Oryctolagus cuniculus: one gene and its partners. The protein of the gene in region 2 purifies or fractionates together with the protein of the main gene of each other region. This does not show direct contact. Links are inferred from orthologs where the notes say so. Each region holds a gene or a part of one and is shown on either strand. Other genes may lie near its edges. The genes, in order: SLC27A2, SAAL1 and TMEM43.

What was found.
Region 1: the proteins of SAAL1 (region 2) and SLC27A2 purify together in Homo sapiens (co-immunoprecipitation; 3 studies listed by BioGRID and IntAct, with this or other methods). This does not show direct contact. The link is inferred for Oryctolagus cuniculus from reciprocal best matches to the Homo sapiens genes SAAL1 and SLC27A2.
Region 3: the proteins of SAAL1 (region 2) and TMEM43 purify together in Homo sapiens (affinity purification with mass spectrometry; 3 studies listed by BioGRID and IntAct, with this or other methods). This does not show direct contact. The link is inferred for Oryctolagus cuniculus from reciprocal best matches to the Homo sapiens genes SAAL1 and TMEM43.

What each region holds. Positions count from the first base shown.
Region 1 is NC_091443.1:73,007,099-73,010,638, forward strand, and holds the end of SLC27A2 (long-chain fatty acid transport protein 2), read left to right. Parts: intron 1-83; coding exon 84-214; intron 215-2,563; coding exon 2,564-2,740; 3' UTR 2,741-3,031; downstream 3,032-3,540. UniProt on the Homo sapiens protein: Mediates the import of long-chain fatty acids (LCFA) into the cell by facilitating their transport across cell membranes, playing an important role in hepatic fatty acid uptake.
Region 2 is NC_091432.1:48,224,858-48,228,504, reverse strand, and holds part of SAAL1 (protein SAAL1), read right to left. Parts: intron 1,959-3,647; coding exon 1,899-1,958; intron 1,767-1,898; coding exon 1,651-1,766; intron 1-1,650. UniProt on the Homo sapiens protein: Plays a role in promoting the proliferation of synovial fibroblasts in response to pro-inflammatory stimuli.
Region 3 is NC_091441.1:113,066,390-113,070,136, reverse strand, and holds the start of TMEM43 (transmembrane protein 43), read right to left. Parts: upstream 2,286-3,747; 5' UTR 2,037-2,285; coding exon 2,025-2,036; intron 1-2,024. Other genes in the region: CHCHD4 (mitochondrial intermembrane space import and assembly protein 40), read left to right, coding at 2,554-2,575. UniProt on the Homo sapiens protein: May have an important role in maintaining nuclear envelope structure by organizing protein complexes at the inner nuclear membrane. Required for retaining emerin at the inner nuclear membrane.

The DNA of each region.
Region 1 (3,540 bases), on a different chromosome or scaffold from region 2:
TTGTCTCAGTCCACAGTTTTTTAAAGGAGCAAAGCCTCATAAGCAAAACAAATAGCTCATTGTTTTTTTCACTTTCCTTTCAGGTCATGAGGGTCGAATTGGCATGGCCTCAATCAAGATGAAAGAAAACCATGAATTTGATGGAAAGAAACTCTTTCAGCACGTTGTTGATTACCTGCCTAGTTATGCAAGGCCCCGGTTTCTCAGAATCCAGGTGGGCCTCTTGTCCAGTTCAATTCTCTTCCCTCTTGGAGACCTCTGTCCCTTAGCGAGCAACCTCCCTTCCCTGCTTTGTGACTGCCTTTGCCAAATTGTTCACCACCCTTTCCAGGAAGCTCAGAAAGGAGGGGCATAAATCTACATCAGAAGACAGAAACATCAGGAAATACAGTCACCAGAAACCCAATCCTAATCCTAATCCCTTCCTTGCCAGTTCAGCCAGTTCATTTAGCAGCAGGCCAAGAGCTCACAAAGTCTGTCTGGAGAGGTATGACAGACACTTCACAAAGAAACGCTCTGACCATACTGGATTTGTTGATTCTAGTTTCAAAGAATGGAAAAAGCCACTACGTGTTCCACGTTTTCATGGTGTCAAGTTTCTTTTTTGTTTTTAAGATTTATTATTTATTTGAAAGGCAGAGTGACACACACAGGAGTTGAAAGGGAAGAGTAGGGGGAGAGATCTTCCACCCACTAGTTCACTCCCCAAATGGTCACAATAGCGTGGGCAGGGCCAAGCCAGGACTCCATCCTAATCTCCCAGTTGGTGGCAGCAGCCTAGGTCCTTGGGCCATCTTCCGCAGCCTCCCCAGGCACATTAGCAGGGAGCTGGATTGGAAGCCTGGCAGCCAGGACTCCCTGGGGCATTCTGATATGGGCTGCCCACCAGGTGGTGTGAAGTACAATTGGGCATCATTAACCATTTGGAACTAGGAAGACCTAGCTATCTCTTCTAGAGACATTCTTTTCCTTCCTCAAACATCAACCCTTTTGTTAGTTTAACACTCTTACTCTCAGACTCTCTGCTCTGATTCGATACTACAGCCACAGACTGGAGGAACGTTAGGATTCCAAGTATTGTTTGGCTGTATAGGGTTGTTTCTATTGATGTTAATGGAACACTGACATTTACTTTGCAACCAAATGGTAAACAAACATGAAAAAGGGGTATTTGGATATTTCCAGTAACCGTGAAGGAAAAACCAGTCTTAACCAGTCTTCAGTCTATCAGCAAACAGACTGAGAAAACAGGGTTGTCTGAGCGTGAATGCTCTATCCTCTTATTCCCACCATTAGTTAGGATATTCTAAAAATGTCCGGGGCCTTACCAGGCAGCAGGTGCCACCCCTATGCTCAGAAATACGCACAAGTGGGGCTGGCATTTGGTGCAGCAGTTAAGATGCCACTTGGGATGCCTGCGTCCCATATCAGTGTGCCTGGTTTGAGTCCTGGCTCCACTTCCAATCTAACGCACAATCTGAGGGACAGCAGAAGATGACTCAGGGTTGGGGTCCCTGCCACACATGTGGGAGACCCAGACTGAGTTCCTGGCTCCAGGCTTTAGCCCGGCCAACCCCCTGCTGTGGAGGGAATTAGGGAACTGAAGCAGCAGTTGGATGATCTCTGTCTCCTTGCCTTCCAAATAAAATGAAAAATAATTTTCCAAAAATCTATACACAGGAATCTCCCTGGTAGCATCCCCACAGCCTTCACTCCCCACAGGTGATCCTAAAGCTTTGAGACAGAGCGCCCATCTGCTGGTTCACTTGAAACCAGCAACTGGGAAATCAATCCAGGTCTTCCATGCGGGTGGCAGGACACAAGTACTTGAACCACCACCTGCCGCCTTCCAGGGTACACATTAACAGGAAGCTGACATCAGGAGTGGAGCTGGGATGTGAACTGGCCCCTGCAATATAGGATAGGGGCATCCCAAGTCGTGTCTTAAATGCTAGGCCAAGCACCCACTCCAACCCTAAGGCTTTACGGGAAGAAAAACTACCTCATGATAGTCGGGCTCATTAGTGGAGATTCTAAAAGCAGGCTGAATGGATAGCACTAAACTTTCACCTCCCTAAGTCAGCCACAGGAAGACACATACCACATGTTCTCCCTCGTATGTGGAAATTTTAAAATAAAAAATTGGCCTGAGCTTTGAATAGCGATTACGAGAGGCTGGGAGAGAGAGAAGAGGAAGGCAGAGGGAGGATCAGTAATGAGCACCAAGGCGGTCAGATAGAGGTGCTGGGTTCCTGGCATGACTGTAGTTCCCAGCAATGTGCTTTGTAAACAACTAGTAGGCTGCAAACACAAAGACGAGGAAGTGGAAAAACTAGTTGCCTGGTTTCATTGGTTTATGCTACATGTGTGTGTTGAAATATTGCACTTAGGCCCTCAGAATGTACAGTATTACATAGTAATAAAATTTTTTTAAATAAGAAAAAAACAGCTCATTTCGCAGCTATCCCTGAGCCAGAGATGCCAAATGCCCGTGCCCTCCACTGCCCTGAACCCTCATCTACTGCAAGCACAAGCCTCACGTGTGTTCTGTGATGTCTTTCAGGACGCCATTGAGATCACTGGGACCTTCAAACACCGCAAAGTAACCCTCATGGAGGAGGGCTTCAACCCTGCAGTCATCAAGGATACCTTGTATTTCTTGGATGACACAGCGAAAATGTATGTGCCTATGACTCAGGACATTTATAATGCCATAAGTGACAAAACTCTGAAACTCTGACTATTTCCAAGAGGATAATGTCTAGTTCCAGAAAGAAATGGAATGGACCTAGAACAGCCATTTGATATAATTCAACTTTAATTTAATCGAAGATTGTCACGTTCAGTTATTTTTATTAGGAAATTATGCATACCAGCAAGGGACCACTTTTTAAATTACAACTAGACCTTTGCAAGTGAAAAGATTTAGAGATAATTATTTTCCAATGTGCACTTACTGTTTGTATTTGCAAACTGAGCTTGCTGGAGGGAGGGCATTATTTTTTTAAATAAATAAAGTAGATGAACACCAGCATGTGACGTGACACTGTTTTTTATGTTCCTTCCTGGCTTTATTCTAAATGAAAATCCTTTGTCATTTACTCCAAAGCTTGACAACCTCCTTAATAAGTTTTCACAGGCAGGTGTTCCACTCACTATAGAATTCTGAGTTTAAAAAAAAAATAGAAAAGAAAAAATGGGGGTGGGGTTGGCACTGTGGTATAGCAGGTAAAGCCACCCCCTGCACTGCCGGCATCCCATATGGGCACCGGTTCAAGTCCTTGCTGCTCGACTTCCGATCCAGCTCTCTGCTATGGCCTGGGAAAGCAGTAAAAGATGGCCCAAGTTCCTAGGACCCTGCACCAGCGAGGGAGACCCGGAGGGGGCTCCTGGCTCCTGATCAGCGCAGCTCCAGCCATTGCTGCCAGTTGGGGAGTGAACCAGCGGATGGAAGACCTCTCTCTCTCTCTCTCTCTCTCTCTCTCTCTCTGCCTCTCTGTAACTTTGCCTTTCAAATAATAAAATAAAATTAAAAAAAAA
Region 2 (3,647 bases):
GGAGATCTGATGAAGCTCCTGGCTCCTGGCTTCAGTCTGGCTCAGCCCTGGCCATCACAGCCAGTTGGGGAGTTAACCAGAGGATGGAAGATCTCTGTCTACTTCTCTCTTACTTTCAAATGAACAAGTATATCTTAAAAAATGAAACAAAACCTTTCTCTTTCACTTAGCCTTTTTTAAGTTTTATTTATTTATTTATTCATTTTTTTGGAAAGGCAGAGGGAAACATGGGGTGCAGGAACATAGAAACGGATCTTCCATCTACTGATTCACTCCCCAAATGCCCAGGATGAGCAGCTGGGCCAGGACAAAGCCAGGGGCATGGAACTCCATCCAGGTCTTCCACATGGGTGTCTGGGATCCAAGTACTTGAACCATCACTTGTCAGGAAACTGGATCTGAAGCCGAATGGAGACTTGACCAAGTACTCTAATATGGGAAGTGGGTGTCCCAAGTGGTATCTTAACTGCTGTGCCACACATCTGCCCTTTTTTTTTTTTTTTTTTGAAAAAAAAAAAAAAGATTGAGGGGGCTGGCACTGTGGTGTAGCATGTAAAGCTGCCGTCTGTAGTACTAGCATCCCATATGAGCACCAGTTCGAGTCCCCGTTGCTCCTCTCCCGATCCAGCTCTCCGCTGTGGCCTGGGAGGGCAGTAGAAGATGGCCCAAGTCCTTGGGCCCCTGAATCCACATGGGGGATCCAGAAGAAGCTCCTGGCTCCTGGATTCGAATCAGCTCAGCACCAGCTGTTGCAGCTACTTGGGGGGGATGAACCAGTGGATAGAAGATTTCACTCTCTCACTCTGCCTCTCTGTAACTCTGTCTTTCAAGTAAATAAATAAATAAATCTTTAAAAAAATATTTATTTGAAAATCAGAGTTATAGAAACAGCAGGAGGGGCCGGTGCTGTGGCACAGCAGGTTAATGCCCTAGCCTGAAGCACCGGCATCCCATATGGGTGCCGGTTCAAGTCCCAGCTGCTCCACTTCCAATCCAGCTCTCCATTATGGTCTGGGAAAGCATTAGAAGATGGCCCAAGTGCTTGGGCCCCTGCACCCATGTGGGAGACCCAGAGGAAGCTCCTGGCTCCTGATCAGCGCAGCTCCGGCAGTTGTGGCCAACTGGGGTGTGAACCAGGGGATGGAAGACCTCTCTGTGTCTCTCTCTGCCTCTCTTCTCTGTGTAACTCTTTCAAAAGGAAGGAAGGAAGGAAGGAAGGAAGGAAGGAAGGAAGGAAGGAAGGAAGGGAGGGGAGGGGAGGGGAGGGGAGGGGAGGGGAGGGGAGGGGAGGGGAGGGGAGGGGAGGGGAGGGGAGGGGAGGGGAGGGGAGGGGAGGGAGGGAAGGGAGGGAAGAACAGCAGGATAGACGGAGATCTTCCATCTGCTGATTAACTCCCTAGATAGCTACAGTGGCCAGGACTGGGCGAGGCCAAAGCCAGGAGACCAAAGCTTCATTTAGGTCTCCCATGTAGGTGGTAGAGGCACACATAATTGAACTGGCACCAATAAGAGATGCTGGCATTGCAGGCAGAAGCTTCACCCATTACACCACATCAGCCCCTGACCTTCTTTTTAAAAAGTGACTTCTAGAAAGTTATATAGCTTCCAAACATAATCTAGAATATTTTCTTCTAGATTACATGTACATACCATTTGTTGAACTTGACATGATGAAGCAAATGCTATCATAAATAGCTGGATGTTCCCGGATCCTTTCAACCCAGACACTGGCCACTTCTGTCTGGGAAAGGCAAGTAAGCAACAACCTATATGATAAATGTGAGTTTAGTATCTTTTCAAAAAAACAAGTAAAGGACATTTGAGAATGAAGATTTATTTTCCTAGATTCCCCATGGGTTTTTATGGGGTAAAGAATTCATAAAAACAGAAAAGCATACCTGCTTGTTTCCAGCAGAGTAGGAGGGTCTGAATCATATAAACAGTGTAGTAACACCTCCCTACAAAAACAACAGAGTTAAGCCTTAAATCCTACTTTCCTGATTTCAAACATCAGAGTTTTCGTTTAAATATTTTTGTGAAATACTGTATACATGTAGAAAAGCCTGTAAAATACAAATCTATAATCAACAATTAGAAAGCATTCACATTTCTACCAAACAGAACAATGCAACAGTGTTGCATCTGCATAGCCCCAATGTGTCCACTCCAAGTTACCATTCTCTTTCCCACCTAGAAATGAATGCCATCCTGACTTATCTAGCAATCATTTCTTTGTTTTGCTCCATACTGTGGGGAGCAGCCCGGACTGGACTGAGTTACTGGAATTAAGACTTATTCTATGCATCTGCTCTCCCACAATATGGCGCTGGGAGAGGAGGAAACAGCTTCCGCACAGCTGCCTCCAGTTCAACCAATAAACTGTAGGACTTGCTCCTGATTGGAGAGCAGCGTACTCGGTGTGTGGGCAGCCGAGTTAGGATTGGCGGAGGAGGACTATAAAGGAGGAGAGAGACGGCATGCACGAGGAACATCTAAGGGGAACATCTAAGGGAACACCTGTGCAGCCCCCAGAGAGCCGGCCGGCGGTGTGCCGCTCCCCTGCGGAAGTGGGGAATGTGGCCAGGGGGAACTGCCCTTCCACGGAGGTGGAAGGGATAGTAGCCAACCCGGGAAGAACCAGCAGCAAACCCGGGGAGGGCCGAGCAGACGAAAGAACAGCGCAGGGTCCTGTGTCGTTCCTCCACGAAGAGGGGGAGCGACACATACTTTTACATTTTATATAGTTTTGGTTTTGCTTTTAAAGTTTATATGAAATAAATTACATACTGCATTTTTCTCCTAAAAATGCCTTTGGTTATTATTTATCTTTTTTTTTTTTTTGACAGGCAGAGTTAGAGAGAGAGAGACAGAGAGAAAGGTCTTCTTTTTCTGTTGGTTCACCCCCCAAATGGCCGCTGCGGCAGGTGCACTGCGGCTAGCGAACTGCGCCATCCGAAGCCAGGAGCCAGGTGCTTCCTCCTCATCTCCCATGCAGGTTCAGGGCCCAAGCACTTGGGCCATCCTCCACTGCCTTCCCGGGCCACAGCGGAGAGCTGGACTGGAAGAGGAGCAACCGGGACAGAATCCAGCACCCTGACCGGGACTAGAACCCAGGATGTGGCGCTGCAGGTAGAGGATTAGCCAAGTGAGCCGCGGCGCCAGCCTATCTTTCCATCTTTGTGTTTGCTGACACATAATTGTACTACTGATTGGGTCCAGTGTGATGTTTAGACATATGTTGGTGTATTCTTATGAGTCTTATTTCTCTGTATAAAACCACACATGTTAGCTCCATCCAGGTGTTCCTGTAGCTGTTCTTTCATTCATTGCTGCACAGGCTCCTCATGTGAACATAACATTATTTCTTTAGCCTACTGCTGTCGGACATCTGGGCTGACTCCAGTTTGGGGCCATCTCAAGGAATGCACCTATAACCTTGTCTGAGTATGCTGCTGAGCACGTGAGGTTGCCCTCCCCATATATGTATCTATGTAACAGGGATGGGTCATAGCTTATGCACATCTTTCAGTCTGACTAGAGAATGCCCAGCTGTTCAAAAATGAACAAATTTACACCCTATTCACCATATAAATTGTTCCAAATTAATTTTAAGATGAGCATTTCAATGAACTTAACATTTATGAGGC
Region 3 (3,747 bases), on a different chromosome or scaffold from region 2:
ATGGTAAGGATGGCGATGCAGACCTGCCAGGCTACCATGGGCCAGGTGTGGGCAAGATCCGGGGGACAGACACTCACTATGCCCCATTTCACCGGTGAGAAAAACCAAGTCTCAGCAGTTTCGGCGTCTGCCCAGATCTCACGGCCTTTTGGATTTTTCTACCACGAAGCTCACGTCTGTGTCACTCAGTGCTGGGGCTGAAATGTGAGGTGAACGCTGGGTGCCAGCTGCAGGCATGGCTTCCTCCTGGGCCACCCCGTGGCCAGCATCAAGGGCTCCAGGAGGGCCTTGGAGGGAAGGAAGAGAGGCCCAGGAGGCTCCCTGCCAGGCTGGAGGGAGGTGGGTAGTGACAAGACACACCCAGCACCCAGCCCAGGTTCTGAACCAAATTTCCCACACTCCACACTCAGGAGGGGCAGGGAGGAGGTATGCAAATGAGCTCCTCCCAGTGACACACTCACACACACACACACACACACATTCGGGCACTCCAGGCTCAGCTGCTTGAACAAGTGGTGGGAACAAGGACTCACAGCGCCTGCTTGGCCGGTCGGCTGCTGGGCAACCTTGGGTGAGTTGCTCTGCTTCTCTGACCCCCCACCCCCCCCCCCCCCCCGCCTACTCACTTAGGAAACGCAGAAGGGGTCACTACCTTCATCAAGGGACAGTTACTGTCATAGCGAATGCTGCCCTCTCCCCACTCTTCAGATCTTTCCCCCGCCCTGAGGGAACCCCAACTTTTTTGCGCATGCGTGCAGCTAAACCAGCGACGGGCATTTTCTCCACAAAGTAGCAAGATGCGCGACAAAGTCCTGGTGGCTGCCATCGACGTGTCCCCAGCTCTGCAGATCAGCAAGAGCCTGGCGGCAGAGGCGGCCCAAAGGTACCCCCGTTTCTTGGTGACACACCCGGGCCAGGCGCGCTAAGGCTGTGAGAACCACCTGCTGTTCGGTGCTGGGAACAGGCTCTGTGCTGAGCTGGTGAAGAAACACAGATCCAGCGAGCGCAGGGCCACACAGCTACAGAGCGGGTGTGCCCCCAGGTCTCCCTGAGTCCTCAGCACCTTCCCGTGTCCTGGTGTGCGCCAGGGTGGACGTGAGACCCTGGGCAGGTCCCTTCCCCTGCTCTGCAAATTCCCCATCTGTGAACTCCATGGATGGCGGCGCCGCCTGCTGCAGGGCCAGGCGGGTCTCCTGGAACCGTCTGCCCTGGCGGTCCTCCGCCCGCCTTTTCTAGGGCACTGTGCCAGGGGCAAGGGGCGACACAAACCCTGGCCTCCCGGGGTCCCTTTGGGGAGAGCAGTAGCCTTGGCAAGAGAGAGTGACAGGCCCGGGAGGGCGGGTCTGGGCTGGCAGGGTGCTGGAGCTGGCTCCACAGAGCAAGGGAGTGAGTCACCAGCTTCTCGCACAGCCGACACCCCGGCAGGAGGGCGAGGTTTGTTGAATGAATGTTCTGTAGGTTGCAAAGAGGCTGGCAGCCCTGAAGGCCATCCCCGGCCAGGGCCCCTCCGACCAAATCCGCTAGGAGGGGAGCGCAGGGGAGCGGAGGGGAGGGGAGTGGAGGGCGGGCCGAGGGACGCGATTCTCCTCTGCAGCCCTCCCCGCCCGGCCCGGGCCCCTCTGCGGCATCGCAGCCCCTGGGCGGGGGTCTCGCTCTCTGCCCGGTCTGTCCCTCGCTGGACAGCTCCCCGCGGGCGGGATCCGCCTCCCGCCCCCGCGACGGACCGGCCCCCTCCCCGAGGCCGCGCCCGGCTCTCCAGTGCCGCGGGGTTCAGACCCCCGAGGAGCCAGGCGGGGCCTGGGAGAAGCCGAGGCGGGCGCGACCCCTCCCGAGCCCCGCTCCCCGCAGCCGCGCCCCGCAAGGCGAGCCGCGCCGAGGACAGCGGACAGAGACGGGAGCAAGACGGACAGGCCGAGCGACAGCGGACGAGACTGCGACGAGGCTCGGACAGCCCCTCAGACCCGGGCGGCCAGCAGGGAGACGGGGCGGCCTGGGTGTGGCCCGGCCGACCGGGAGGCACTCACATTCGCCGCCATGCTGGGGCCCGAGTCGCGGCCGCCCACTCGCTCTGGTCCGGAGGACGATCGGAGTGCAGAGTCTCGCGGCCTCTTCGCTGCCCTACCGCCGAACAACTCCGCGTGGAGCCCGGGATCAGGAGCAACTTGCTACGCAGTCCCCGCCCCGAGGGAACCCCAACTTTTTTGCGCATGCGCGCAGCTAAACCAGCGGCGGGCATTTTCTTCACAAAGTAGCAATACGCCCGAGATTCACTGGCACGCCTGCGCGCCGCAAAGAGTTCCTGGGAAATGTAGTTCCCACCTTCTGGAGGGCAGCCAAGGGGCCCCTCAGGCTCTTGGGAAATGTAGTTTCTGGCTGAGGAGAGCCGGGCTGGCGCTGCGAGGGCGCGGAGGCAGGCGCGCGGCGGGCAGGCCTGGAGGGGGCGGGTCTGCGCGGGCCTCACAGCCGTCTGTCTGCCCTGCCTGAGTAGAGGGAGGTCACGGCGTGACCGTCGCCACCGCCGCCGGTGCGAGGTCGAGTCGCCGGGCCGCAGCCATGGCCTACTGCCGGCAGGAAGGTAGGGAGAGCGGGCTGCGCCGGCCTGTGGGAGACGCGCGGGCTCCTGCGGCCCCTGTGGCCCCTGTGGCCCCCGCGGCCGGCGAGGGCTCCCCGAGGCGCGGTCGGGGGGTGCCCACCTCGGGGCTGACCGGGCGGCGGGGTCGCCACATGGAGTTGTGTAGAAGAGAAAACGGGGTTCTGGGAAGAACGGGGCTGGTCCAAGGTCACGGTGCAGCCTGAACCCGGAGCTCGGAGGGGCCTGCACGTGGGAGAGCCGCAGACCAGGCCCGGAGGGCGCCCGGGAAGCGAGCGCTGGGCTCGCAGGTGGGATTGTGCTGCGGCGACTTGTTCGCGCCCCGCGCGGGCCCTCCACGGAGGCGTGTGCGGTGTCGGGGCGCGGGAAGCGCCCCCTGCACCGTTGGAGCATATTCCTAGCTCTGCGCTTGCGTTTATGGAGCCGTAAACCGAGACGCAGGTGAGTCGGCCAAGCCGGTGGGGCCGGGGTTGGAGGCCCTGCTGCTCTGCCCCCCAGAGCCGTCCCTGGGCCTCGCCACACTACCGGGGTCCCTGTGCCCTAGCGGACCCCCGACCCCGCCAGGCCCCCGGCGCCGGGCCTCATTCATTCGGCGGCGCGTTCTCGGTGCCGGGGGAGCGGCTGGTGGGCTGCAGCGGATGCACAGCTGTGGAGTTAGCACTCAGACAGAAATTTGAACAGCTTTGCTCCTTCAGTTTAACTTATGGGTCCTGAGGCCCAGAGAGGGTGGCCACCCATCCAGCCCCCTGCTAATGCGCCTTTGGGGCAGCGGCTGGTGGCTACAGTACTTGGGCCCCTGCCCACCCCCTGGGGGGAGACCCAGAGGCTGTTCCTGGCTCCTGGTGTGAGCCTGGCCCCCTCTGGCCAGCATTTGGGAAATCAGTGGATGGAAGAAGACCTTTCTCTGTCAAGTAGATGAGAATAAGTAAAATGTTAGAAACGAAAATGAATAAAGAAATATGCCGGGTCTTTACCGCGGGACTTCTGCCTGGGTGTAGAACGGCTGCTTCCCTGGACCCGAAAGCTGTCCCACTCCCTCTCCAAGGACCGCGGGCATACCTCACTTTCATTGTGCTCCCTATTCCGTGCAGCTTCCGTTTTGAAGCTTTGTGACAGCCTTCTGTGGAGCAGACTGTTGGTGCCATTTTTCCAACAGG